Linked DNA regions of Schizosaccharomyces pombe. The gene in region 3 interacts genetically with the main gene of each other region. Each region holds a gene or a part of one and is shown on either strand. Other genes may lie near its edges. The genes, in order: pof9, fml2, gdh1 and prw1.

Region 1 (6,620 bases), on a different chromosome or scaffold from region 3:
CGACGCTTAACAGCGCTGATTTGTACAGGATCGTTGCGAGAAGGTACCATATCTCGCCAACTCAAAAAGCAAGTTCGAAGCGACATCATAATGAGAAAGCCATATGCCAAACCAAATGTAGAGACATCCTTATAACCAACATGGTGATAGACAGCACACATGCGATACGCCAGTATAACCGTGATGGAACATAACAAAGTGCAGGCGATTTTCCACCGGCGAAAAAAACAAAAGGTTTCGACAAGGTATGTAGCTAAAGGGAATAGATTGAACAGAAGGATGTTATAAATACCTGTGACTGGAAGTTTGGAAGAAGGATCGAAAGAAAATGGATACATGAAAGTAATTGAATTTTAGATCGTGTTCGTAGATGATCAAACGCCGAAAACTTTATAGTGGAGGAATAGGAAAGGAAGAAAAGCAAAAAAGTAAGAAAGAAAATTCGCAGTTAAAACAAAAGTGAAGAAAAAGAACAGATAGGGTAAGACAATACAAGCAACACTAGACGAGACAAGACAAGACAAGGCGAAACAATAAGAAAAGGCAAACCACACTCTATATAACTATGAGACTTTATTTACAATCAATCAGTCAACCGACAAAAATATGAAAAAAAGACAATAATGATAAAAGAAAATGACAAAATGCTTATTGAAAGAAACAAAGAACAACGATGATGATGATGATGATGATGAAGGCAAAGAAAAAAAAGTGTTATAATATAGTTGTTAACAAAAATAAATCAGACACTGTGGAATTACAAATAAATCAGTAATACTTGCTAATTGCATGAAAAGGAAAATAGCATCCCGTAATCTTCAATTGCCCTTCAATCAATCCACGATTTTTTAAATCTGGAAATTTTCGCACAACAGATTTCAGGTACAAGGTAGTCAACCCAACAAGAAAAAATCGTCTCTTAAGATCGATTTCTGCCTGAAAATACCGGTTTTCTCGACACCTGGATCTGTAAACAAAACCCCCAAGTTAGGGTCGCCAGAAAAAAATGGGGTGGTTAGGAATATTACAAACCACCAACGCAAACGACAAATAGAGAGCAAGAGCCCAACAAATTTTGACCACCGAGGATTTAATATGAAAATCGGTAACCTTCCTTACAGTCCAAATCAATTAAAAAAAATAATAATGTTTGGTAAAAACTCGTCGTAGTAGCACAGTAACTTAATTCACAGGGGTCAGGAATATAAATTGGTCAATGTGTGTACTTTATGTAATTGCGATACAGGAAGAAGGAAAAAAAATTTTCTCACTTATTTAATCACCGTTGTGTTTTCCTTGTGCTGCTTTTTTTTATAATTGGCTTACCTAGAGGAATTAGTAAAAATAGAGATAAATTCGGAAGTCCGAGGTGGCCGAGATATTTATTTATTTCACTTACTTAGCGGACAAAATAAAATCCTTCTCTAGTGCGCACGCGGAAATTAGCTTACCAAGCAAAGTTGATCACTATTTCACCTAGCCGTCCCTTTCCAAAGTCCGAGTCGCAGGGGCAGCTAAAAAGCGCAACGCTGGAACTCTGGATGGTCGGATGATAGAAAAAGTTGTAATTGGAGGCACATTGACTTCGGGTAAAACAGATTCCGAAATGGCGAGAGCAGCACTTTGCCATCCGCCGGCTGCAACTGAATAGCAAGTTCCTGAAAAGTGAATTTGATGTGGAATGGAAACGATGTTGCGTGCGGTGCGTGGATCAGAAACAATGCTGGGATCAGATGTCTGTTCTTGCAAATGAAGAGAACCCAAACCTAAACACCCACAATAACGTAATTCAACACCCCACGACCATATGGAATGATCGCTTGTTAAGTAAAGATGATGATGATCGCCATGCGCCAATTGCTTAATTCCTCGGTTCTGGAGAAAGTCGTGGATAACCGGGTCATCATCGACCTGCTTGGTATTAGCATGACCCATGTAAACAGTATTGCCATCGTCCGATAAACATGTGAAAGTTTCAAAGCTGCCTGCTAAATGCCAACCTTGATGGGGGTCGTGCGAAGCGAACCTCTTCAATTCTCTTCCTAGCGTGTGTTGTGTAGCTTGGTCCAGGTCTAAACGAAACACGGCGCCTTTTTTCTGAGGTGATGCGACAGTATACACTAGGAATCCTGCGCAGTGAACATAATCGTTCAGCACGAATTCCTTCATCGATGCCTCTGGCTGGAAAAGTTGCGCTTCACTTTCTCGTCCAGTGTGCCAGACAAGAAAGCCAATGCCCGGCACATACGCCGAATGCGAGTCCCAACCTGATTTAAAATTAGCAATTCTTCCGCGATAGGCTGATAGCATATTTTGTTCATCTGTCAAGCAAATTCGTGTTTTTAGAGATACTTGATACAAGTGTCCCGTCTCACCGAGTGCAAGACAAAACTCTCGACCAGCATGGATTTTCACAATTGGCTCTAAATCTCTCATCAATTCGGGCCCAACATTGTTTGGTACCCCCGTAACATATAAATTTCCGTTTTCATTTAATAAATACATCCCATAACCTCTAAATTCCGCATAGGGAATAGTTAGTCATTGTAGTGCAGTCAAATAAATTCCTGTATCTATGCGCTTACCCAACTTGAACCTGAATAGTAGAACGAACGTCCTTCCCAGTCAATGCACCAGGACGATCTCGAGGATACTGATTTGTATTGACGACGCGGCCCAAATAGTTTCTTATCTGTTGCCCCCATGAGTAAGCGTATCCTCGGTCTTTCCATACAGCATAGGGTCTTTTGTAATTATCATCAACAACTGGGACTACATTGGTGAGACCTTGGACCCGTGCACAAAATCGATGCCAAATTGTTTTGTCGTCAAAAACATACGAAAGTGACTTGCATGTTTCTGACAAATGAACTATATCTTTATAATCAAGATATGTACTAATTTCTAGCAATATATCGTAAGAAAGCTCCAGGAATGGTGATTTAGCCATAATGAATCTCGCATGGGTAGTAGTATATGAATACCTCTGAATATATACAAGGGAAACGGTGTTGAAATACGTCAAAAGCACATGTTTTCTGCAACTCTTAATAACTAGATACAATTGTATTATTTACAATTAATAAATGATAATAAAGAAAGGTCTATGAAACGAAGGTGTAGTCATTGCACGAATCAATTTCAAAGTCTATCAGCATAACGAAGCAGATTTAAGAGTAAATGATCGGCTTTATAAAAACCAATTGAGTAATTCTTGTCTGTTTTAAAGAAGAAAGCTTCTGAACTGCCCCTTTTTTTTTAAGCATTCATTGCACACCCTTTCCAATGAAGCATTGATCATACCAAAATTGTAAATTAAGGAAAAAGAAAAATAAGAGTATCAAAAATAAAGAAGTAGGGTATATAAAAGACGGCTCCTACTACAGAAAAAAAGACCACGCGCACAAGTAAAATATTGCTTTATAAAAACCAAGCCACAGTAGCTCAGAGTTCTTGACAGCGCCTTGCGATTGAAAAATTCTTGGAAATTCTAAATTAATTTTTGTTTTCCAATAGCTTTTTTTGTTGTTGCTCATCAATACCCAAGAGGTAAAGAGCGTTTTGCAAAGATGGAAGATTGATTTTCGAATCAGCCTAATTAAAAAAAAAAATCGAGTTAGTAAGATCATTAAAAACATAAATTTGTAAAAAAATTTCGAACATACCAATAATTGAACTTTGGGTTTAGCTTTGAACGCAATTCCTAAACCGGATTCGGCCATCATGACCAAATCGTTAGCTCCGTCCCCAACAGCCATCGTTTCGAGCTTATTTAAACCCAACTCTTCCCTCTTTTCACGCAAAATGGAAGCTTTTCGTTGTCCATCTACAATTGCACCTTGAACTTTTCCAGTGAGGAATTTACCATCATCGGAAAATTCAAGTACATTGGCATATGCATAGTCCAAGTCCAGTTGTCCCTTGACATATTCAGCCATTGGAACAAATCCACCACTAGCGACAACAAGAGTCGCACCCATTTGCTTAAGGCAATGACAAAGCTGTTTAGCTCCTGGAGTGAAAGTAATTTTGCCAATGACTTTATTTATGACATCGACGCTCAACCCTTGTAGTAGAGAAACGCGACGACGAAGTGATTCTTGAAAGTCAATTTCCCCATTCATTGCAAGAGATGTAATCGTAGCAACCTCTTTCTGGATGCCTGCTTCTGCCGCGAGCTCGTCAATACACTCTTGTTGAATCAACGTCGAGTCCATGTCAAATACTACAAGCTTCTTTTTAGTGGAAAATGTTGCTTCACTCAAGCAATTACAGTCTACATTCTCAGTAGCAGAAATGCGGTTACAAGCGTCTTTAGCATCTTCAAACGTTCCTTTAAGTTGGCCTGATACTAAAGTCCACTGTTCCCCCAGAGAACGAGTCTTCCCATCTCTAAACAAGGAGGAAATCTGTTCAAGCACATTTGGACGATTTGAGGAAACAACTATGGCTGCGTTGACCATGCTTATTAAAAGGTATGAGTGGGTTTGCTAAATTTTCTAAGTTGAAAAGCGTTGTTTTCGGCAAGTCCCATTTACTAATTACTCGGCTATTGATTAAGCTTAACGTTAAACGACAACAAGTACTAGGTCAATTTAAGTTATTTGAAAATCTCAAACAAGCTTATTTTTTGTTATTGTTTACAAATTTATCATTATCTTCAAAATGCTGTATAAATTGTGAAGTTGGTAAAGTGGTGCCTAAACTCCGTTTTCAAACACAGGTTAATAAGCAAATATTTTTTTTATACATTAAAGCAATAAAGCAAGAAATCATAACTAAGAAGATGTTTGGAAATATTGCAATATATCAGGGCAAATATTCCAAAAATGAGAGCCTACCATAAAGTAGAGAGTGAGATATTTGTAAAGTGAAAAAGCACTAAAAAAATATTTGGCAATGTAATAATTGTTCTCTTTCATTCCTAAAAGGTTATACACAATTTAATGTGCTTTACTTAGAGAATCGCTCAAGTACCTCTTCTGATACACCTTTAACGGGAAAAGTGCTGTATTGAATAGCAGAAGGTGCCTTTCGAGGTTCTTTACTCCTATCTCCTCGAGGATAATACTTGTAGCTATAATCAAGACTCTCATCACTTTTTCCGCTACTGCTTTTGGTGTCTTCCCAGGGGTGAGCATTTTTTGAAGGAATTCGGACTTGATCTTCATGTTGTACCAACAAGCCCCGCTGTCCTAAAAAACTGTTAGCTACAATCATTTAATTTAAACAATCATATGTAAATGCGCTTGTAAAATAAATATTCTGTAGGAAAATTTTAACAGAATATTAAAATTGAGTATAATGTTTCATTAACTGCGCTGATTTCTAATTTTCTACTAATTTTTAACATACCAAGCATATAACCAGCAACTCCAAAGGTATAAGTCATGACACACCAAGTTATCTAACAGCAAACTGATCAGCTTACGAAATAATCAACTCAATATATTTTTCAAAAAAAAATTGAGCTTACAAATAGTTCTGGATATTCTCTTGACCAGCGAACCAGGCGGTTCGACATAATTGAGCGCATAATTGACATGATGGTTCCAAAAATAAAAAGTTCTTGTTCGCTTGAATAGTTTGATTAATTGTTTCGAGATGGAAAGGATCTAAAATCCTTTTATGATTGTAAATGTCAAAATGAAATACGTAGGCGAACATTCGCAACATTTATGACAAGCATCAATATTTATGGGGATCGCCACCTGACGCAGACAAGACGTAGCAACGGTGCGCATTAAGAGATTCAAATTTGAATGGATAATAATATCATAATAATCACCAACTCCTTCTACTAAAGTGGTGAAAGAAGCAACTTTCCAATATTTCTAGATTTTCCAGCGTTTGCAATCGGGATCGAACCGCCCTTGTATTTATATTGCTTTATACAGTTTTATAATACTTTTCAGATACTACCTCTACCCTTGTATTATACTATAGAATTTGTTAGGACACTTATTTACTAAACTTTTCCTAAGATTATATTTGTAAATAATAAGAAGAGAACACTAAAAAACTTCGCAAACAAATAAAAATGGTTCGTACCATTATAAATAAATATAGTCATTTTTCAAAATTTAGCTGCCATGAGGTTAGTAACTTAATAGTAGTTGCTGACCGCAAATGTTTCTCCAGTAAAGTAGGTCCAATGTACAAGTACGTTTAAAAGCGTCATTGAGATTTTCTAAGGAATAAGAATTTAATTCATTTCCCTTTAAAACAGGAAATAAAACCAAAGGACCGCTTGGAGTCATGCATATTGAGGAATAACAATCTAATTCGATAATCTTGTGAACTACATTTCCACTAAATACAGTGAATGAAGCCAGGATGGTTTTTCTTAGATGTAGATTAGTAATAATTTTTCTTCAAAATTTCATCCATAACTGACCATATACCGTGTTTCTTGAGTTATTTGTTTACAAGCCATAGAGGTTATTGGGTTATTTCGGGGCTAGTGAAAGTATAGAGATGATCCTTTAAATTAGCCCTTTCATTAATAGCTTCGCGATAATCATAATTTCAATAGTTGCAACACTCTAATAAACTTTTAAGATCTTTTTTCGTTGCTTCCGTACCTTCATTTCTAATATTTTCTCAATTACACCCTCCCA
Region 2 (9,009 bases), on a different chromosome or scaffold from region 3:
AGCTATTGCTTGTTATTTTCTTTGGGAAAGGACAATGTTCTCTCTGAGAATGCAATTATCCATTCTTGTCGGAATTATTTGCAATTTTGCATACGGCTTATTACACTCGTATCGATGGTAAACCCGTTCATTTTTGTTAAAATTTTTGTCCAATACAATTAATCGTTCCACTTTTCGTTGCACTTGTTAATTATGACTACAGTTTAATTGAGGATTAATAATGTCGAATTTTATGATCTATTCGCTTTGATCAAGCGTTAACTTATTAAATGTACGTTTAAAACACCATTTGGATTTATTAAGAAGTGTAAAGTAGGATAACTGTAAAAGTGTCGTATTGAGTGTGCAAAAGTAAAATATGCATATATTCATCGCTAGAATGAAAGATACCAATCAGATCCTAAAACAAAAAAAAACACACACAATAGAGGAGAGTGCTTCTAAAACAATAAAAAGAAGAAGAAATATGAAGGATTATTTTACAACCGGTATCTAAATGGGCTGACCCAAGATTTAAGAAAATTTCCAGCGATTTCCGCAAACAGTACATTCACAAAACTAAAAAAAAATTAGTCCAAATATTCTACCCAAATAGACTAATGCTTACCGTTGTCATAGGCTCATCAGCAGATCTATACGGATTGTTAATAAATTTTACGCGATAAAAAGTACTAAAATCATGACAAATAACATACCTTGTTTGCATTTGGTAATAAGAAACTTTTTTTTGCTTACACTTCCCACAAGTAAAAAGGTCTGTAACAGCTTTTTGGGGTTTAGCACCTTGCGCATGGAATAAATTTTCTTGTTCTAGCTTGGCATCTTCCTTGCGACGGTCTTCTGAAGCCAATTCGGCAGAAGTCATGGTACTGAGTCTTTGCGGAGTAATTTCATTTCGTAATACTGATGCTCTAAGTTTCGGGTTATTTTTATCTTTAAGATTCATATACAAGGACCGCATTCTGTTTCGATATTCAGAACCAGTTTTACCTGCTGCTCTAGCAAGTACTTGCGCATCAATTTCTTTGGCTTTGGCTATTATTAATGAAGAAGATTCATCCGAATCTATGACTAATGCATTGTACATTAATCCAATACAGTTGTTGCGAATCTTGTCATCAGTCACATTGACGTTCACATTATCAGATTTAAAAGTACGCTGACCACTGCTGCTTTGTTTTTGAACTTGTTTTTGAGCTTGAGAACCTACATCCGCATGTTTAGAAGGCGTGGAGGAAGTTGTAGTTGTGGTTTTCAATGGACGACCTTTACTAACATCGGCTTTCCATTTTTTTACAATTTCCCGAGCTTGCTCACCAACTTTCTCATTGGGATGAGATCTGAGCTTGCCAACGACTAATCCCAGCCGGGTTTCCTAGCATCATTGGTTAGTATTTTGAATACCGATTCTCCATCAAATGTTGGTACTCTTGTGGAATTCGTATTTTAAGAAAGATGTTATTTCTATTAAGTGAAATTTGCAAAATTCATGTAATATATTGTCAACAATCCGTGCGAGAATACTACCATATTGCATGTAATAAACCTACCTTAAGTAATTCTTCGGTAGCAACTACTTCATTTTTTAAACGTGTCATAATGTTAATTATAGTCTAGCTTGATATTAGCTTCAAAACCATCTGTAAGTCCCAATAGCACAAATTACAAACCTCTATATTCTTTCCCTGAATAGCTTTTTCCAAAGCTGCTTTCGCAGATCGGATATCAGCAGAGTCCATGATTCAAATTAAGTTCGAATACTGTAAACACTGCTGTTGGTTAGCAGATTGCAAAATTAATAATCTTATGGTGGTAGAGGATTTATTTTGGATAACGCGCTTTACATCTCACATGTCTACTAATACCGTTGTGATTTTTCTTCACCACCATAGTTGCTGATGTGAATATCAACACCCCGTAACGTGATTTTGTTAGTTGAATTCTTGAGTTTGACAGTTTTTTTTTCAAGTTTGCAAACTGTTTTCTGTTTATCGCATTAGTACTCGTGTTTATTTTACAACGTTAAATTTTCATGCTCCTCCGCTGACTTGATCTTACTCAATTGTTAATTGTTTTATCAGCTTTGTTTATGAAAAGCAAAGATTATAATGTTGTTTGATCAAATTGAAGAAACTTGATGTTCAAGAATTTAAAAGTTTGATATTCAGTTTATTTTTGAAACTTACTTTGGTCTATGTGTTCGTTCGTTTTCATAAATTTAGTTTCATGATTGTACTGAGAGACTCAAGTGACTATTCCGACTCTGAAGTAGACCTGCCAAGTATCGAGGTGAACGGAGAACGAGGAAATGTTCCTACCTCAGTGCTTTGTAATGTTGAAGGATCTTTGTTGAATTCTAATCCTGCTTTAAGGCAACCAAATTTGAAATGTATAAAACATAATCAAGACGTTGAAAATACTACGTTTCAACTAGACTTGCGAGGCTGTAGGGTTCCTTCTTCTCAACCTCAAGTTATAACTGAGTTAGAAAACAATATTGACATTCCAAAAAATATTGATGCAATGCAAAACTGGATTTTTCCACAGACTCAGCAGTATAGAAATTATCAAAAGGAATTTTGTGAGCAAGCATTATTCCACAATTTATTACTGGCTCTACCTACTGGGTTGGGAAAGACATTTATTGCGGCAGTGGTCATGTTAAACTATTTTCGTTGGTTTCCTGAAAGCAAAATAATATTTCTTGCCCCCACAAAACCATTACTGTTGCAACAAAGAGTTGCTTGTTCCAATGTAGCGGGAATGTCACCAGGTGCTACCGCTGAATTGAACGGTGAAGTATCACCGGATCGTCGACTTTTCGAATACAATACGAAACGAGTATTTTTCATGACTCCACAAACACTCCAGAATGATTTAAAGGAACATTTACTGGATGCCAAAAGTATTATTTGCCTGATATTTGATGAAGCTCATAGAGCTACTGGCAACCATTCGTATGCTCAGGTTATGAGGGCAGTGCTTAGATCTAATAGTCATTTTCGAGTCCTTGGTTTAACCGCAACTCCAGGATCTTCTACCGCCTCTGTTCAAAAGGTAGTAGATTGCCTCCATATCTCCAAACTCATTGTTCGCAACGAAGAAAGTATAGATATTCGCTCATATGTTTTTCATAAAAAGATTCAGTTGATTAAGGTCACGATCTCCTCTGAAATGAATATTTTAAAATCGGACTTTGCTAACCTATACCGGCCATATTTTAATTTTCTCCGTCAAAAAAAACTTATACCTATCAATTGTGAATGCCTTAATATAAAAGCTTATACGCTTTTCGTTTCTTTACGAAAGTATTCCTTTAGTTCAAAAAATGTACAATCTAAAGAAAAATCAAAAATCATGAGTTGCTTTACGCTATTGATTTCATGTGCTCATATAACGTATCTGTTAGATTGTCATGGGATTATCCAATTTTATCAAAAGCTTGTGGAAACTAAAAATAAAGCTGAAGGAAAAGGGAGTGGACAAAGCTTTTGGTTGTTTACTAGTAAACCGTTTGCTTTTTATTTAGAACACCTTCACAATAAAATTCAAGGTTTGTCATTAAACCATCCTAAAATGAATCATCTTCTTGAACTTTTGAAAGAACATTTCAAAGATACTTCTGAAGGCTATCAAAATCAACGAGTTATGATTTTCACAGAATTTCGAAACACTGCTGAATATATCACAACGACATTGTTGGCAATTCGACCTATGGTTCGAGCTTCTTTATTTATTGGGCAGGCGAACTCGGCTTACTCAACTGGCATGAATCAGATGCAACAAAAAGAAACTATCGATCAATTTCGTGCAGGTGTTATAAACACGCTAGTTGCTACATCAATCGGCGAAGAGGGTTTAGACATTGGTGATACCGATATGATTATTTGCTATGATGCTTCATCTTCACCGATACGCACGATTCAAAGAATGGGTAGAACTGGTCGTAAGAAAAGTGGAAAAGTTTTTGTGCTTCTTACCGAAGATTGTGAAGATTCTAAATGGGAGCGATCTCAAGTTTCCTACAGAAGGGTTCAAAAGGTAATTGAATCCGGTAAAAAAATAGCACTTAAAAAGGACGTTCCTCGTTTAATCCCTAGCAACATACAACCTATTTTTAAATTTCAAGCTTTACAGAACAATGCGGACGCAACATTGATATTAAACTCATATAACAATAATTCCTCATCATTGTCACCTGTAAATACACTAGCGAACCAAGCGCATTCTCGTTCTAAACGGTATCTTCCTTTCATAGTGGATGATGTTTTTGAAGATATGGAAAGCAACCTACGGGTGCCTACTGAAGACGCAAAAATTAAGCGATTTAAATCGGATTATAGAAGTTGTATTTATAACGCCAGACGCAATGTATTTTCAAAGCCTACCTATATGGGTGACAAATTGACTAAGTTCGCAAAAGTACCACATTCTTTATTAACGCTCAGCATCTATAGACGGGGTAGACTTTTGCAACAATGCTCGCCTTCCTCTGTCACCAAATACTTAAAATATGAAGAGAAATTTAAACGGAAGCGGATGAAGAAAACGTCGAATGCATTATTTCAAAGTACATGAAATTACTGATTAAATACCTTAAAGAAAAAAATATCATAATCCGAAACTTTAGTAGGAACTTATGTGAGTTTAAGCTTATTTATTTGTTATATAGTAACTTTTACCTTAGAACGCAATGTCTTTCAAGCTGTCACAAAATTTCTATTCTGGTTTTTGAAGCCTTCTTCTCCGTAAATAAGCTTGGAATAAAAATTCTACCGCTTCAGTATTCATTTTGGTATCTTGCCACGTATCGCCCCAGCAGTAAATACCGTGATCTCTAACAATTACAGCACAAGTATCTGGGTACAAATTGATCGCTTCTTGCAAACTATCATGAAGATCAGACTCATGAGCAGTATTATTGATAACTATTCGGTTAGCAGCCTTTTATAAAAGTTTGTAAACTCATACATGGAATTTTTATCTTATCTGTTGGCTTATGAAACCCATTATTTTTAGATCCTTTTGGAATATACGATAGTACTTCAAAACCTGTTGCCGAAAAATGATCAGAATCCGCAAATAGAGTAGACAATAAAATGGCTTCCTGAGAATGGGTATGGATACATGCATATGCGTCACGCAAGCTACTGCTTTAGTAAAGAATTCAATGTTCAACAACTTTGCTGACTTACGTGTATACTGCTAAAAACAAAGGTGTACACTGAGAAGGTTTCAATCGAAGAGCTGGCATTCGCATATATTCTCGAGTACTGCAAGAGGTTAGCATCTACTCAAAATGATAAAAACAATGACAATAATAATATCATACATTAAAGACATGACAAAAAGATGGTGTAACTCCATCCTTTCCTTTTGTACACCCGAGGGAGCGATTACAATGGCATCTCTACATGAAAGTTAATATTTGACGCTTTAATAATGCTTTGTACCCAGAGCGAATGGTAATTCCTCCTCTGATTCTTTTATTAGTTATATTAAATTCAAATTAGTAATTACCCAGTTCCTGTAACCCAGCCCGACGTATACAGATCTCGACAGATTTCGCAAATTAATTCACCACATTTTTTCAAATCGCCAGAACGAAGACATCCTAAGTCTTTCTTTAGAAAATCATCCATTATTACTATGATGATAATTATCTTGATGAAAAATTTTGAAAAGGGTCACGTTTCATTAACGTTTAAAAATTTTTAAGTAGCAAAAGTAACTGTGAGTTTAATCTACGCGACATTAAGCAAACAAAGTGAAGTAAAGAATTGATGTGTATAATAGCTATCTTGATAATTATTATTTTTTTTTATGAAATTATTAAACATTGTGTCATGGCACTTGAATAAATAGGAAGTACTAAGTTTTTGCTTAAAACAAAAAGTTTATTACAGTCTATTAACCTAATGAAAATAAAGTACAATAGAAATCAATTAATAATTTTTTTATTCAGTCATCCCCAAATATTGCACTGAAAAGAGTTTGGGGAGCTTTTGGTTTTTCTTCTATATCCTGGGGTCGATTCAACTTCCTTGTATCAATTGAATCGATACTTTTGTTTTCAATTTCAGCAATAATAGGTACATTTTCAATAGAAGAAATATTTTTACGCTTTTGTTTTTCTTGACCGTACGGTAAGGCGACATTAAAGCGTTTACAAAGAAGACGTTCGGGAATGAATGTAACAACTGTACGAGGTCTTCTCAAAATTGAATCATCAGTTTCACTATGTGAATTAATCGACTCTTTTTTAGTCGAGGCTTCAAAAGAACTTACGAAACGCATCGATAGATTTTTTGACATAGGTCGGTATAGTGAAGCTGTTTGAGTAAATTCTAGTAAATGACGAGAATCAATATCTCTGAGTAATCGTGGCATATTCATTAGGTGCGCCTTAAGGAAAATCTCGTAAATTCCGGCACGCTCATCGTTATAGGGATTATCTTTCCTAGACATTGCATTTTTAGCTGTCTCAATGTCAATTAGTTGCCAAGATCCCTCATCTTCCTTGACACCATGATTAACATCACTAGGTAAACTTGCTTCACCGTTGGAATTTGTTTCACTTTTCTCAGCAAAAAGTGGTAAGCGCTCATTTGAAGTTTGGGCTTTTTTTTGTGAAAATCCTTGAGAATTTGTAAAAAGTTTTGGCTCCCAACCCTCAGGTATTGTAGGAGGAGGAAACCAATTATTTTGAAAAGGTGATTGTAAATTAAATACCACTACAAATCCTGGAAGGGGAGGTAGACCATCTGAGCAATTTTGCGATTTGATTATGCTTTTCCCTTTGCTTCTGTCTTTTTTTGACAGAAAGGTATGCTTAACGGGTGTAAATGGAGAAGCGACTTTTTTTGTAATGTTGATAGATTTATCATACCGCATTTTTGGAGCACCGAGGTCGTATATATCTTGATCTTCTATCCCATCATCATTTAAAACACCTGATCCAAATCCACCGCGCAGATTTTTTGCCATTCCAACTGGTTTTCTTTCCAGCTGAAAAACATCGTCCGCTTGATACCCGATACCGTGATAAGCTTGGTTGGTTAACTTAGTGTCATCATAATACCCTTGAAATGGAGATATAACAAAATCATGACCGTTCCATCCAAGATTTTTTAACATTTTTTCGCCAATGCTATCGTCCCTATTTGAGAATTCTCTAAGTAGAGGATCATCAATTGGTATAGATGTATCAATCGTATTTATTTTCGAAGTATAAACTTTACTAAGCTCTTGGTCAGCACGATCTTCCTCGTCCATAATATCGTCAATAGTCATTCCATGCACACTTTTGTTTTCATTCCTTGAACTTTTCCAAGATTTAGGTTGCCAACCCTCTTTTGAACCAACCGTATTAAAATAGCCAGCAGAAAATCCACCAGTAAATGCACCATGAAATCTCTTTCTATTACGCTCATCCCTGGCTTCTTGTTTCCAAACAGGAACTCCTTGATTAATTCTGGACGGCTCAAGATCAAAAGGGGAGCCATAAACTACATAAGGGTGCCGATGAACATCGACATTGCTTCTTTTTCTTGAATTGGCATACATTTTAAAACAAGAAGTAATCGTGATCCGTAGTTAAACTGAAAAAAAAAAAATTCAAAATTCAAAATTTAAGGCATATTTTAGGATACTATAAGCCCATTATTTTTGAGGCGACAAGAATACTATGTTGAGCAACTTTTAATTTTTAATAAAGCCAGATAACTTATCAAAGAATTCTGATTTGTTGACAAAAGCAATTACAATACTCAATTTTTAAACAGTTGCCCTTGCTTCGAATTTCAGCTGCCTCCGTAGTGCAATCTGCGAGCGTTAGGGTACGTTATTTATCTATTACCTAATTCTTTGTACAGTTGAAGTTTCATGAGATGAAAAATGTATCATGTATATTTTGTCTGTTATTGAGAAATCTCAACAAAGTTCTATTTAGTATTACTTCATGTTGAACCAAGCATTCATAAACTAAGAAATTTGTTGGTAGCTGGTAAACTGAGCGAATTATCGTCGGTTGATTGGTAAAACATCATTTCTTATACTTCGTTTGCTCAACCATACTACGAATTTTAATGCCTAACAATTAATGAGCAATACACATTTGGATATGCTGCTTATATAATTTCACATATCTTGATAACTTAATTATCAATTAAGGAATGGTGGTTAGGCAAGTATGTGTATCATTACGTGGGGTTTTTCATAGATGTATGGTTTGAAGATGTTAAAAAAATAAGTGTAAGCGGTTACTATGCTAATGTTCTATAAAAACCAATGTTCATATAAATATTCGTCGATTGCGGGGCTTCTTCTCATAAGGATTATAATTACTAAACATAGAGGTATTGGCAGGTCAGTTGTAATTCGCGTACAACATCTTCGACTCACCACTTCTATAGTGGTACATAAATTACCGTTTCTTTCTGCGAAAAAGTGGGTTAGAAGTTCGTGCTATTACTTCTAAATAATCGTGAGAATTTAATTCAATCGTAGGATACAAAGCTGTTCATTATATAAAACTATCAACTTTCGAATATTCTATGGTGTGGATATAATTTTCATTTATCTTTATGAGTAAAAACTATACATATCATATTTACAATTAAAAATCTTCTTTCTTTCTACTATATGGATGGATATTTCGAATTATGTTGACAATTTCTACTTTGATGAGAAAATTGCTTCAGCATTTGAATTAGGTAAGCGTTTAGTAGTTCAATAAGCTTGCACATAAAAAAAAAATATTGGGTTTTTGTACCGGGATCTTAAAAGACGGAATTACTGACAGCTTTAGGAGAAGTAAGCACGGTTGATTTGTTAACGCTGGATATTACTGAGCTAGAAAGACGCACACATTGTAGTCAAAGTGAGTTATTACAGTTAATTGAGCAGATATCCCTCCTTCTTCAACCAGTAAGATGTTCTGCTTCCAAAGTCACTTCGAAATATTTGACAACTGGCGATGTAAAGTTGGATGAAACTCTACATGGAGGT
Region 3 (7,445 bases):
AACTCAGTTTCAAGTTGTTATAATGAGACGTGAGAGATTTATATATACTATCAAAATTTTTTTATTAAATTTTGAATTATTTTAAATAATTTAAAGCGATATAATTTTCAATGATATACGGTACAAACGAAATCTAAAAACTAAAATATTCAATTTGTAGACAACATGCCCGAAATTTCACATTGTAGTTTCACAGTTAGGATAATTAAGTTTGGTAAAAATATTTTTTAAGCGCTATTTTTTAAATAAAAATATTTATCAAATTCAATATATTTAGTGCATATTCGTCGCTTTATTTACATGTGGATAGCATAATTAAATAATGATGAGCAGTTGGTTCAATGTAGGGATTTTGTGTTTATTAAGATTTAAAAACGTTCAAGATAATAAAATTATATTCGAAGCTATTTTTGAAGTATTTTTGCACTTCCTCAAAATTCCCGTGTATATGACCCATCTCGGATTTCCAATCACACCTACCGTTTGCCTCATCGAAATGTTGGGCCTTTTGCTATTATTACTTATACCAGCACTTTTCACCTTAATTTGGATATATAAATACATTGAACCACATTCTTTAATTTCAATTCCTGGAATTTTCGTATTTTTAGGCTTATATGTACCATTCGTTGTAACGTTGTTAATTCCTATCGACGTAACTTGGGTAGGTAGCTAAATATCATACAAATACAGAATTGGAAGTCATCTAATTGTTCAAGTACTATATAGGGCCTCTAAAAGCCTTCTTGAACTTGTTGCGAGATTGATTACACTTTATCGAAATTACTTCAAGCTTTATGAATACAATTATTACTCTTCTACTGATTTCATGGTTTAAATTTTACTAACTTATTTGTAGGATGTTTCACTCTCAATATGGCGATTCCTATATTGGTTAACATTCGTGCTCAGTTGGATCATCTTACCTTTTGTCCAAGGTTATATGGAAAGTAAATTTTCAACGCCGAGAAGTCGTCTTAGTGATTCTTTTTACAAAAACCTTAGATATTATTTACTTTTGACATTTTTGACATGTGTCGTAATTGCGTACTTGCGATTCGCCTTGCGAACTATGTCTTTCTCCAACTTTAAAGAATTGGTGATTTCCCTTACATACTTTTGGGGACTCTTATTTGTCATATTTCTTCTGGGAAATGGTTTTGTGTATGTCCCGGTTAGTATGTGGAAAAAGGCATTTATTACAAAACGTGCCGCGCTTCTTGAGCGCCAGGCTGTCGGAGTATACAGCAAACTTCAAGCTCGGCTCGAGAGCTACTCTTTACCATCTTCATCCATTAGCTTAAATAACGGCCGGAATCAATCTAGCAGCGATTTTTTTACTTCATCTCTTACTGATCACGCATTCAATCCTCACAGTTCTCCAAATGGAATGTCTAACGTGATCGCTTTACAAACTACTTGGAATCAAATGGTAAAAGAATATAATCGTATTATGCTGATCAAAACTGCTAAAGCATCTGGCTCTTATCGTCTATACTTACCAGACTCATATATTCCAATACACCCTGTCGTTGCATATGCATTTTACGTTTGGATTCTTCCAGCTTTTAGAATTTTGTTCTCAATATTTATGGCTTCAATGAGTGTAATCATTGTGGTATCAGAAGTGTTTTTGCACACTCAATATTCCTTGGTTGGTATTATCTTACAAAAGTTTACCAATTCGTCTGCCACTTCTATTTTTGTATCGTTTTTATTTGTTTATTACATGCGATACTGCACGTACAAATCCTTGATGCGAACTCAATTTGCGCCACATTACTATTATGCATTAGTTCCTTTCCGAGCTACAAATACGGCCTCCTTGATATACTTCGCATCTCAACTTTGTCGCTTAACGCTTCCTCTTTGTTATAACTTTGTTTCTCTACAACCTTATCCCACCCAATTCCATCAATTCTATGGTGAGAGTATTGACCTCTTACCACTTGGAAATCTTATTAGCAAACGTTATCCAACCTTTATACTACTGCCGATTATTTTTTCTATGATTTCTTTAAAATATAGGTTGCGACAATTCATTTATTCCATTACGCTGCGCAAATCATCCAGTGCCAGCTCTTCCGATGACTTTGATGATTCATCACTGAATTCAGAAAACGATGATGATCTGTTTAATGAAACCTCGGCTGCCTATTTAGCTGAAGGCAGAGCCCTTCTTTTGGGTACAAATAATGCCCATGTTTAATTTACCGTTATGAGCCCTATGTATTTTAATAATTTAGTCTATTCTTCACATTTTTAACAGCAATTGTTATTTCTCAACTATTTTCTTATACAAGTCTATCATTTACATAACGTTAAAAAATTCTTTTTAGTAAATTCTTCAAAGGATTCTCATAAATAATAATTTCATACAGCTATCAAATACCAGTTAAAATTAATTGAATAAAGGAGGCGCCTTGAGCGGAACTAGAAAATCAAATGATCCTTTTATTACATGAAAAGTCTACATAATTACGGGTACTTCGTATTCGAAGCATCTGTGAGAATAATTCAAAGACTGATTTATTTTTTTTCGTATGCATCATAATCATCTAATAGATTCATAGCTTTTTAAAAAAATTGGTAAAGTAGAAGAGGTACAGAAAAGCGAGTGACTTGAAAAAACATATACAGATACAGTGAATCAAAAATGCCTAAACATTTCACGAATGAAGTCTACCACCAGTCACCAACGGCTTGCATGGCAGTAGCAACCTTCAAGAAACCAGCAATGTTGGCACCATCGACAAGACTGGGAATGTTGTTAGAGCCAGAGTCACAATACTTGGAGGCGACATCGGTGGATTGTTCAAAGATGTTTTGCATAATTCCAGCCAATTTAGCGTCAACCTCGGCATGAGTCCAGGTAGAGAATTGAGCATTTTGAGCCATTTCCAAGCCAGAAACGGCGACACCACCAGCATTGGCAGCCTTACCAGGAGCAAGCCAGCAACCCTCACCAGAAGCACGAGACTTCTCAAAGACTTCAACGGCCTCAGCAGAAGAACCCATGTTGGAGCCCTCAGCAACGTAGCGACATCCTTGTTTGATAAGAGCGGCGGCTTCCTCACCGCTAACTTCGTTTTGAGTTGCACAAGGCAAAGCAATGTCAATTTCACCAACATTAGTCCAGGGACGAGCACCGGCGATGTAGTGATGCTTCTTGCAAAGAGAAGCAGAGTCGGCAATGCTGGCACGCTTCTCCTTTAGAGCCATAATTTCATGGATCTCTTCAGGGACAAGGCCTTCAGCGGTCTTTGCAATTAGGACACCTTTAGAGTCACTGATACTCTTAACAATAGCGCCTTCTTGAATGCACTTCAAGGCAGCATATTGAGCAACGTTGCCGCTACCGGAGATGGCAACACGCTTGCCCTTCAAGGTCTCGGCACCCTTGGTGCGGTGTTCAATCATGTGCTTAACATAGTAAACGACACCGTAGCCAGTGGCTTCAGGACGAATGTTGCTACCGCCGGTAAGCATGTGCTTGCCGGTGACGACACCACTGTACTCATTGCGAAGACGCTTGTACTCACCAAACATGTGCATAACGACAAAACCTGTGACACCAATATCACCAGCCGGTACATCAGTTTGAGGACCGATATAGCGGAAAAGCTGACGCATGAAAGCTTGCGAGAAGCGACGAATCTCGTTGTCGGATTTGCCCTTGGGGTCGAAGTCAGAACCACCTTTGCCACCACCCATGGGAAGGCCCGTCAAGGCATTCTTGAAAATTTGTTCAAAGCCCAAGAACTTGAGGATGCTCAAGTTGACGGAAGGATGGAAACGCAATCCACCCTTGTAGGGGCCCAAAGCCGAGTTGAATTGGACACGGTAGCCGGTGTTAACACGGCAGTTACCTTTATCGTCCTCCCATGTGACGCGGAATTCTAAGACACGTTCGGGAATGGAAATGATTGGAAGCACACGCTTCAACTCGGGATGAACTTCAAAGAGCTTGGAGCTCTCGATGGAGCCCACAATCTCCTTGTAGGCTTGTTGAAATTCAGGTTCGTATGGGGTACTCATGGTGGGCCAAAAAAGTAAACAAAATCGAAGGTAGTGATATAGAGTGTATATCTATATAATAATGATAAGTTTAGAGAATTCGAGATATCAAAAAAAGGCGACCTCGAAAACTTTTAACAATACAAATACAGGCTGTACAATCCAAAGTTCTATACAAATCCGTATTCGACGCCTTCAACGCAAAGACTTTCAAAATTTAACTACAATCCAACAAAACTCTTACAACGTGAGTATGTAAGAGATATCGATCCGGGTTCAAAACGCTTACCAGATGTACCAGTGCAGTGTAGCAGGAGGATTCAGGGACGTGCTGGCCATGTCTGCTATATTTATACACTTAACAAGCAATAATCAACAGTCACACCAGATACCTTGTTTTTTGGGAGACCATACGTTTGCTAATGGCTGACGACTTGCAATAAACCTGATGGAAGAGCGATGGCGGAGATAACAGACGAATAGGATGTAAGTATGATGTCAAAATCTCCAATCACAATGCTCCTATATATCTCTTTTCTCTATAATTGGATAGTGGAAAAGAAGATTACTTAAGCGGAAAATTTCCGATCTGATAAGCCAACCCCCTCACAGAATTCCTTCGTCTCCTGCTCAACCAAATAAAGATAAGATAAGCATTGCTTAATGATTGGTCCGTGCAACGGCTATCACCCACCCTACTGAAAATGTGGGGAAAACGCAGCTCCTCCGGGAAAATCCATGGAATTATAGAAGATCCTTAGTGGGATGGGGTGCTTGGGGGGGGGGGAAAGATGTTTTTAGATGAAAAAAAAATGTTTTAGAGAGGTTAATGTTGTAATATAGAAGATTTTCGCTTTCTGTTGATTAACAGTTTCTATAATTTTTTTAAGAAAAAAAATCTGGAAAAGTCCAAGTCCTTTGTTAATCTAATCTCGTTCCAATCTCTCACATCCATTTAAAGGGTCTATTCTTTACTCCTTTCAGTTGCTGCCCCCTTACTGATAACAAGGATAACTAAGGATAGTACCAAAAGAAAAAAACGCTAAATACTGAAATAGGTCGAATCACACTGAAACGGGTAGGTTCTTCCAGGCAGACCAAATCGCAAATACATATCCGAAAATTCGAGTAAACGGCCTTGCCTCGGTTTTACAGTATGGACTAAACATTCGCTCATCCAAACGTATTGCGCCTTAGCAGCCATAGTCATGACTAGCTTTCAATAGAAAAAAGACAAACGAAACAGAGTCATGAAATTCGTAGCGTAGATGTAAGTTAGAAAAATTTCAAATTTCTTTATTTTTTGGTCTTCTGATAACCCACTATCCCACTATCGTTTGTCCATTTATTCCTTGCCCGATCATGTGGCTGTTTGCTTTGAATCTAAAATTGGATAGAAAATAGTTCATTCGAAAGATTAGCGAAACTACGAAACAAGGTGCGATCGTCGTTGTGCTCGGTAGCAAGATGAGTTTGTTTTTTAGTATAATTTAGGTAGCTGCCAGCCTCGTTTCGTCAACTTAGCTAAATTCGTTGAGTCTGACTCATTGAATGTAGGTAAAATGGCTCATCTAAATCGAAACAAGTTGAATCGAGTACAGCCTTAGTCAAATCAAATAATGCCAAGATGAAAAAAGTCGAGCCTTTGCCAATATAATTTTATGCGATGTAATGGAATTCTTTGCCTGATTTTTAGGCTCTTTGTATTTTCTTTTAAAACACGGAAAATTCTAAAACTGGTAACCACTTTTATTATCGTTAAATGATGGAAATCAATGGTTTTTTAGCTCCTTTTTTCGGTTGATTCAAGTGTAACAAATTGTCCAAAGAAGGGAGTGGTTCCTCTTGTGTCTCGGTTTTCCCGCTGCCTTGTTGCCCAAGCAAATCATTGAAAACAGTCTCCGACGTCTTTGCTCCGACAGGTTCCAAAACTTCATGTGTTCGGCGATATGTACGTTGAACACGTTGCTTTCCCGGAATTAACAATTCAGTAGAGAAAGTGTCAATCATTTGAGACCCTCGAACTTCTCTCTCATAATACACTGCGTCGGGATTTTGCTTGGAAAATGCGTTCCAAGTTTCTTCCACCAATGATTCATCCCCCGCATACTTTTGAGACATGTGAGTAATGGCTCGTATGATGGGTGCCGTTATCCCCATAAGCTTCAAATACACTACAATGCTCAATTTGTTAGCCACACATGCTGAAGTTACTTTTAGCATTGCCCTTTGCAAACGATGCTCACTAGAATATGTTCGAGCAACATTGAAAAGATGCCAACGTTGGCACAACGTCTCCAATCGTGGAAGCAAATCTTGGCGAATCCTAGATGTCATAAAATCATCTGCAAGGGCGCAAACTTGATATATAGTTTCTAATGCGCATTCTACTAGCAGTTCGTTATCCGTGTCAAGCTGAATAACGACCAATGGCCAAAATGTATTAATAGCAGGATAAAATGTGTTTGGCTCCTTAGCCAAAACATTGCTTCCATAGCTCAACAATTTTAACATTTCCACTCGTATCGTAATTTGTTCATGTGATAAGAATAACTGCGCCTTTTCCGTGATTTTCCTTACCATATCGACGACATCATCTTTTTGCTTTTCTCCTTGTTCGTCCATAACATTACTATTTATGTTTTCATGATCAACTGTGGTCTCACCCATATTTTCATTTTCTTTGCCCTTCTTTTCTTTTTCCTTCATTGCATGTTCGCGAAACTGTTCATGTCCACTTTTCGTTTCTTGTTGTTCATCGTGTATCATATCCTCTAGTTCATGATCATCTTTTGGAAGAGGATAATTAGGGTTCTCTAATAGTAGTTGAACGAATTCGCGAATCTTTTTACATGGCTTATTTTTATCCTCGTTCATTGCGTCCTCCTCCACCCCGACGATGAGCTTTTTCTCCTCGCCATTTATACTTTCTTGCTTTATTATGGCATAAAGAATTCCAAGCAACCCTTCTGTAAGCCGTGCGTAACCATGGTAAGCATCCAAAATCCCAAAAATAGCATCCACTACATCTCCAATGTACCGAATGCATCCTCCATCGTCATTCTTTATTACATAAGCCATCACAATTGGAAGTTGAGGTGATACGTCTAATGTGTTCAATTTGAGGGCAACTGAGTTGACCACATAGTCAATATTTTCTCTAAGTAACTCTGCTGGCGTCGAGTAGTTGCAATTTGTCGCAATTGCTTGAATACATGCCTCTGCAAACGAAGATACATAAGGAGAAGCAAACGCCAAATGTTCAAGGAGAGGATAAAAATATGCCATTAATTTTGATCGAAACTTTACTCCTTGTAAAGAAGAAATCCAGCTAATGCTGTCAATAGCAATGCAAGAACGAACACACAAAAGATTATACTTTTCCTTTTTCTGCTTATCCTCCAACGATGCTTTCGTAAAGACATTTA
Region 4 (6,768 bases), on a different chromosome or scaffold from region 3:
TTGATTATTTGCATGATATGGGTGTGGCTCATCGTGATTTAAAGCCGGAAAATTTGTTATTGACCGTTAGCGGAAGTCTAAAAATCACTGATTTCGGTAATGGTGAATGCTTTAGAATGGCCTGGGAGAAGGAGGCTCACATGACATGCGGCCTCTGTGGATCCGCACCCTACATTGCTCCAGAAGAATATACAGAAAGTGAATTTGATCCACGCGCAGTAGATGTCTGGGCTTGTGGTGTTATCTATATGGCCATGCGTACCGGTCGACATCTTTGGCGCGTTGCCAAAAAGAGTGAAGACGAGTATTACTCCAGATATCTGATGGATAGGAAAAACGAGAGCGGTTATGAACCTATCGAAATGCTTGAACGTTCAAGATGCAGAAACACTTTGTACAACATTCTTCATCCCAACCCAACTTACCGCCTGACAGCAAAACAGATAATGAAGAGTGAATGGGTTCGTTCCATCACTCTTTGTGAAGCTGGCAATGCTGGTCTGTAAGTAGAGAGTAGGATTTAAAAGTTACAAATCATGACATTCGAAGCTTTCTAAGCTGTTCGAAAATGAGGATTTACTATTGTTACTGTCTTGATTAAACTATGTTTACATGCATAATTTAATTGTATTGAAAGACTTTTGTTTTTTTATTGCATTCACTCTAGAAGGGCGAAGGGATGGGTTTGATCGTGAAACGCGTCACAAATTATTCATAGTTTGACACAATGCCAAGCGCTATTCAACAATCGCTTGTGTTTGTCTATTTTAACTTTATTACACCTCATGTGGTTTCAACACCGGCACTCCAATTGCCAAGAGGAAAGGGAGAGAGTTGGTGTTTAAACTACATATTTTGGGTATATGTATATATTTTTAAAGAATTCTTACATTAAAGCTTTATATTACGTTCGTTATCATTTTTATATGTACACTAGTGAGCGTGGTGTCTGTGATTTGTTGCATGCACTAGTAAGTCACTTTTTAACTAAACCTAGAAAGTTATGAGCACGGAGCTGACATATCTGAGTTACTTCCACTGTCTAAGACATTAGTGTGTGCAGCTACTTAATAATTAAATTCGGTACCAAAACAAAGAAAATCGTGTTGATTGGTTAATGAATGAAAACTCAATTATAGTTAGATAGATGCATATGAAAAGTAAGCTTCTGAACAGGAGCGTGAGCAAAATGTTTCACTATTGGTAGTATAGAACGAACGTTGGGGTTCAAAGGAATCATAGGAATTGAGAGGAGTGCGAGGGCTGAACAATGTATCAAAATCGAAATGTGTTGTGGTGAAATTCAGCCACTTTTATGATGACACAAATCCAACATACATAGCTGAAAAGAAGCTCAGCTTGAAATTGGGGTTTGTACAGATCCAATTACGAATGGTAGGAAATGTTGATTGAGTATTAAACCTACCTGAACTTGGGAAATGAAATCCAGTATACTGCTCCGTAGGACCTATAACTTGTTGCTGCAGCTGGGGCCAATTAATTCGGATCAGACCTTTACTGTTAATATACTAATAAACGTATTGTGTTAGTATTATGAAAGATAAATACGATTTTCAGTGCGAAACACAAGGTTTTTAAAACCTCTAAATATAAATAAAGAATCAAACTTAAGCACTTACAGCAATGGTAGCGAAAACGGCGGAGCAGGCAACGATGAATAAACGGCCCAATTTTCCTAAAGCAAATCCGGCTGCTAAACCAAGAGAGCTTCCAATAAAGATTTGACGGTAATTCAGCTTAAATTGAGAGGTGATAGTAGTTGCAGCACTTGCCGAATCTTCACACAAGACTGGGCGAAATGGGTGAAACCTGTGCAAGAATCCTCTTCCTAGAAGTAAACAATTCATTATGTGAGAGTAAAAAATAAAGAAAAATAATAGAAAAGGTACAAATTTGGTGGAAACGGTTTAGTCTAAAGGTGGGAATTATTACGAAACGTCATGTCTCGAAGATGTAAATAAAAGATGGATAAAGTATCTTCGTTGCTTTTTCTTAATCAGCTTACTGAGAAAGTGTGTGTCTTAAGGTAGATTTATTATAAGAGAAAGATGTAAACAAATGTATTGTGTACGAAGTATTTAAGTGAAAGGTAATTTTGTGCTTCTTCATCATCGTTTCTAAAATTAATAATGTTCCTTTTTAAGATCAACGATCTTTTAGTTTGGTATGACTTGCTTCGAAGTTCTTTTTTCTTGATGTAAAGAACGGCATACATATTGAAACGGGATTGTCTTCATTTTAACAATTAAATTAAATATATTTCTCATTTCTTTTACTAAGGGTACGCAAGAATACGAGGGCATCTTGAATTCGGCTTCTTGCTCGTTTGGTTTTCAGTATGACTTGATGCATTTTCCAAGGATTGCAGAACAGGTGGGAGATCATTATTTTAAATCATATACTTTTTATTCACGCTCAATTGAATATTCAAAAAAAGGAGAACTTCAGAAATTTTGGCTGCGTTTTGCTATTGGCGATACACAAGTTGAATGTACCTTAAAACTAAGAGGAACATAATTTTTTTACCAATTTTAATAATCCTGCTTCTCAAGCGGTTGTTGCCTTGTGTGACTAAAAAAAAGCTTCAAAGTGTTTCTGTTCTTGACGCACTGATTCATGCAGAAGTTAGAGTAGATGAAATTAGCATGAAAGCAAAGTAAAAAAAAACTCATCTAAATTAAAGATTCTTAACTCTCAGCTCTATAAATTTATCTTTCCATCTTGTGTCTTATAGCAGTCCATCGGGAAGCTTGTGCTACCCAAATTATATCTCACTTCTGTATACATATGTTCAGCAAACATAATCATTTTTAGTAATTCAACTTTTTACAATTAACAGTCTCTTTAAAAGTTGCAATTTCTAGCACTGTGGAAACGCATCTCAGGTCGAGAGAGAAGATGAAAAGACGCTAGCCGAAGCATGAGACAAGATTAAGTTTCTATTGTTTTTTCCCATTTAAACATCTATACGGCTGTGATTATATAAAACCTAAACAATCTTAATTTATAAACCAACCTGCACCTATTTAAGAACACTTAGTGTGCACATTAGCGCTGCACGCGTCTACTCACCATCCACCAAAAAGCAGATTCAATCATTTTAACTAGAACATAATGGCTGTATCAGCTGTTCCCCATCCTTCCAAGCAAGCGCAGGCTTCGGAGGAGGGAATAAATCAAGAAAAATGCATCAATGAAGGTATGTCTGCAACGTTTTAACATACAATTTCTAGTTGATCAATGTAAAATGTGTTTCTAATCTGAAACAGAGTATAAAATTTGGAAAAAGAACTCACCGTTCCTTTACGATTTAATAATTACTAGAGCTTTGGAATGGCCTTGTATGTCACTACAATGGTATCCAGAGCAGCAAATGTAAGTCAATCATTTGAATCATAATGTTTAATCTTGTTTATGTGACTCAAAAAACTTACCATTATTTTTTGTTATAGTTTTGCAGAACATGGATATACTGAGCAGAAAATGTTTCTGGGAGTTCGTGCTGATGTTGGCAAATACTTACTAGCTGTTGCGTCTATTCAATTACCCTATTTAAATCAGACTGTTCCTCCTACTACAATGGAGGGAGCATCTGCGGGTGACGAGTCTTCTCTACGTGTTAATATCTCAAATCTTTATTCTCATCCTGAGTCTGTTTGTAGTGCGAAGCTTATGCCACAAGACGATTCTTGTGTAGCTACGGTGGGTAACTATCATAATGATGTGTTGGTTTTTGACAAGGAATCCTTCGAATCTTATAGCTCGGCTAGTGAGTCTCCTCTTAAGCCCAAATATAGATTGACCAAACATACCCAGCCCTGTACTAGTGTTTGTTGGAATTTTCTTTCTAAGGGTACTTTGGTTTCTGGATCGCAAGACGCTACTCTTTCTTGTTGGGATTTGAATGCTTACAACGAGTCAGATTCAGCGTCAGTTTTGAAAGTGCATATAAGCAGCCATGAAAAACAGGTCAGTGATGTACGCTTTCATTATAAGCACCAGGATCTTCTTGCTTCAGTTTCCTATGATCAGTACCTTCATGTTCATGATATTCGTCGCCCTGATGCTTCCACAAAGCCAGCTCGAAGTGTGCATGCCCATAGCGGTCCTATTCATTCTGTTGCTTTCAACCCTCATAACGACTTTATTTTGGCTACTTGTTCGACTGACAAAACCATTGCACTTTGGGATTTACGGAACCTTAATCAACGCTTACATACATTAGAAGGACATGAAGACATTGTAACAAAAATTAGCTTTTCTCCTCATGAAGAGCCTATTCTTGCTTCTACCTCAGCCGATAGAAGGACCTTAGTTTGGGATCTTTCAAGAATCGGGGAAGATCAGCCTGCTGAGGAAGCTCAAGACGGTCCTCCGGAGCTTCTTTTTATGCACGGAGGCCATACTTCTTGTACAATTGACATGGATTGGTGTCCTAATTATAATTGGACAATGGCAACCGCTGCTGAAGATAATATTCTTCAAATTTGGACACCTTCTCGCTCAATTTGGGGTAATGAACAATTAGAGGAAGATGCTACGGCATATTTAAGTTAACCGGTCGTATACAACATTCATTGATATTTTACTTAATGTCCCAAACCTGTTTCTCTCTTTAACTCCTTTTTTTTTCTACCCTAATTGCACATAAAAGCAAGTTTTTGATTAACATATATATATTTAATTTTGTTTTTTTTACATGTTCAGAATACTCGTAAGGCAGCACGAGATAACTCCCATAAAAAGTATTATGAAACGATACAGTGTCGGTAGACGTGTGATTTGCAAACACCTAGAGATAATGTGATTTTCATTTGCAAAACATAGATAGATATTGCAAAGGCCAATGGTAGTACACAAACATACATAAGTTTCTATATCATAAGATGTTAATAAACAAAAGACAGGATTTTCACTTACTTTTTTTCCAAATAGGTGACAAAAACTCGGAACTTTGGTTTATTCCAATACAAATTCCTAAATATTGTAAAGAACTTAAAAGAAATATGCTAGTCACTAGCACGTTTTTCGTATTTGATTTTTCAAGTTGCCATTCAGGTAATTCAACCCAGTTCAACTCGTGTAGTATTAAAGTCAGCAAGCCATGGGATAGCCATATTAATACTGATTGAATTCCTAAATCCTTTACTCTTCCTTTGCCAAACAATGTTGAATTAGGGCGATTGCTTGTCAAATTTTGAGCAGGGTCGAAGTAACTCATAGCTGCTGACAGTGGAAATATGATTAACAGATCCATAAACAAAAATTGGTTATCGTTAAAGTTATAATTTTTTAAATAGAGAAAGAAGACACCAGAAAACTGGACTATAGCACACAACACCATATATTGAAAACAACGATGGCTAAGTATTAAGGAGCATCTGCCCTCCAATAAGACATTAAAAACATCCTTAATTGATTTTTTTTTGCTAACAAAGGAAGCTGCAGCACATGCCTCGGAATCAGAGAGAGAAACTCCAACATCGGCTTGCTTCAAAGCAATACAGTCATTTGCCCCGTCACCGCAAAAGCCAACTTTGCAGCCATATTTTTGACAAAGCTCCACATATGTAGCCTTGTCAAAAGGGGACATTCTAGCGAGAACCCTTAGTTTACTTAATAAGATTTTAATTTCATTAAAAGAAAGCATGGTCAATAATCTTTGAAGTAGTTTTCCATCCATACAAAGGCTTGAATCCTTCTCGAGGATTACATCTTTTAAAGAGAAGCCGTCGGGAATGGGCTGAAAGTTCTGAGTTTGTAAATCTATTTTTTCAAAATGGATTTGTGGACAATCATCCCCAGAATCTGCTAGTTCAGCTGTGTATATAAAATTGCATGAGTCTAATGCACCGCAATGCTTAGCAACGAAAACACTAGTGAACAATGAATCGCCAGAACAAATCGAAACTTCCATTTTGCTTCTTAAAAGAGAGGAAATAACATCTTTAGATGATTCTCTTAAAGGGCTCTCTAATACAAACAATCCTTGAAAGGTAACATTGGATTCTAGAGTAGAACGAGAAAGATGTATCAATTCTTGAAGTGGAGTAATAAGGTTCTTGGATGCAAATGCAATGATTCGAAACCCTTTAGATGAAAGCGTATGAATAACTTCCTGTACATTGCTTGGAATGGACTGTTGAGAAGAAATAGCTAATATCGATTCTGGAGCTCCTTTTGTGAATAACATTAAAGACCTCTCAGTACTAGTAGAGCAAATTACTGACATCCGACGTAAAACCGGATCAAATTCCAATGCCTTATAGATAGAAAAAATTTGACTGGGTCCATCGAAAGAATTGGATACGGAAAATAACGGAGGATGTGGAGTATTTGAAGCTCTGATAGTGGCACAAAAAGTTCCATTGAACTGAGTAAAGAGTGTGACTTCCAAAGGATCACCAACAAGTTCATTACCAACAAGTTCCAATGATTGAGAACATGTAGCTACTCTGTAGGCATGTGCGTTTAACTTTGTACTATCGAGAGATAAACTGTCAGCATCAACTTGTTTAAGTAATCCATTTGATCCACTTTTAACATAGACACAAGAAAGCTGCACAGAGTTTTCTGTTAGAGTACCAGTTTTATCGAATACAAACGTAGATAAGCATCCAGCATTATGAATGCTAATACAAAGTTAGTAAATGAATAAAATTCTCTTTGAAATGCATACCTTTCAGGGGAAGTGGTGTAAATTAATGCACGACTAAGCCTGGCAATTGAGTTAGCTATCCCTACAGA

What was found.
Region 1: mutations in gdh1 (region 3) and pof9 together harm fitness less than expected from each alone (positive genetic interaction), as found in Schizosaccharomyces pombe (one large-scale study listed by BioGRID).
Region 2: mutations in gdh1 (region 3) and fml2 together harm fitness less than expected from each alone (positive genetic interaction), as found in Schizosaccharomyces pombe (one large-scale study listed by BioGRID).
Region 4: mutations in gdh1 (region 3) and prw1 together harm fitness more than expected from each alone (negative genetic interaction), as found in Schizosaccharomyces pombe (one large-scale study listed by BioGRID).

The regions. Positions count from the first base shown.
Region 1 is NC_003423.3:1,868,177-1,874,796, reverse strand, and holds pof9 (F-box protein Pof9), read right to left. Parts: upstream 2,965-6,620; 5' UTR 2,951-2,964; coding exon 2,586-2,950; exon of another isoform or gene 2,516-2,585; coding exon 1,477-2,515; downstream 1-1,476. Other genes in the region: SPOM_SPBC3H7.05C (uncharacterized protein), read right to left, coding at 1-338; phosphoserine phosphatase Ser2, read right to left, coding at 3,496-3,594, 3,666-4,463; SPOM_SPBC3H7.08C (uncharacterized protein), read right to left, coding at 4,954-5,195, 5,356-5,407, 5,477-5,545.
Region 2 is NC_003424.3:2,114,643-2,123,651, forward strand, and holds fml2 (ATP-dependent 3'-5'-directionality DNA helicase fml2), read left to right. Parts: upstream 1-1,882; 5' UTR 1,883-2,226; coding exon 2,227-4,578; 3' UTR 4,579-4,719; coding exon of another isoform or gene 4,720-4,928; 3' UTR 4,929-4,971; coding exon of another isoform or gene 4,972-5,147; 3' UTR 5,148-5,195; coding exon of another isoform or gene 5,196-5,273; 3' UTR 5,274-5,332; coding exon of another isoform or gene 5,333-5,410; 3' UTR 5,411-5,453; coding exon of another isoform or gene 5,454-5,477; intron 5,478-5,513; 3' UTR 5,514-5,520; downstream 5,521-9,009. Other genes in the region: protein dsc3, read left to right, coding at 1-121; tfs1 (general transcription elongation factor TFIIS), read right to left, coding at 514-558, 608-632, 696-1,375, 1,551-1,613, 1,671-1,739; mde1 (5'-methylthioribulose-1-phosphate dehydratase), read right to left, coding at 4,720-4,928, 4,972-5,147, 5,196-5,273, 5,333-5,410, 5,454-5,477, 5,521-5,642; gpl1 (Gpl1-Gih35-Wdr83 complex RNA-binding subunit), read right to left, coding at 5,962-7,566; rad57 (DNA recombination mediator, RecA family ATPase Rad57/Rhp57), read left to right, coding at 8,648-8,714, 8,810-9,009.
Region 3 is NC_003421.2:1,416,775-1,424,219, forward strand, and holds gdh1 (NADP-specific glutamate dehydrogenase Gdh1), read right to left. Parts: upstream 4,430-7,445; 5' UTR 4,039-4,429; coding exon 2,683-4,038; 3' UTR 2,357-2,682; downstream 1-2,356. Other genes in the region: lmb1 (plasma membrane LMBR1-like multi-pass membrane protein, human LMBRD2 ortholog, implicated in signaling), read left to right, coding at 497-664, 860-2,209; TTT co-chaperone complex, armadillo-type fold subunit Tti1, read right to left, coding at 5,776-7,445.
Region 4 is NC_003424.3:5,108,242-5,115,009, reverse strand, and holds prw1 (histone chaperone, Clr6 and Rpd3L complex subunit Prw1), read left to right. Parts: upstream 1-3,127; 5' UTR 3,128-3,135; coding exon 3,136-3,220; exon of another isoform or gene 3,221-3,290; coding exon 3,291-3,396; exon of another isoform or gene 3,397-3,473; coding exon 3,474-4,578; 3' UTR 4,579-4,716; downstream 4,717-6,768. Other genes in the region: serine/threonine protein kinase Hal4, read left to right, coding at 1-506; fun14 (integral mitochondrial outer membrane (MOM) protein), read right to left, coding at 1,314-1,529, 1,641-1,868; Ca(2+)/Mn(2+)-transporting P-type ATPase P5 type Cta5, read right to left, coding at 4,717-4,895, 4,942-6,653, 6,701-6,768. UniProt on the Schizosaccharomyces pombe protein: Has a role in chromatin assembly and chromosome segregation. Involved in the deacetylation of histones.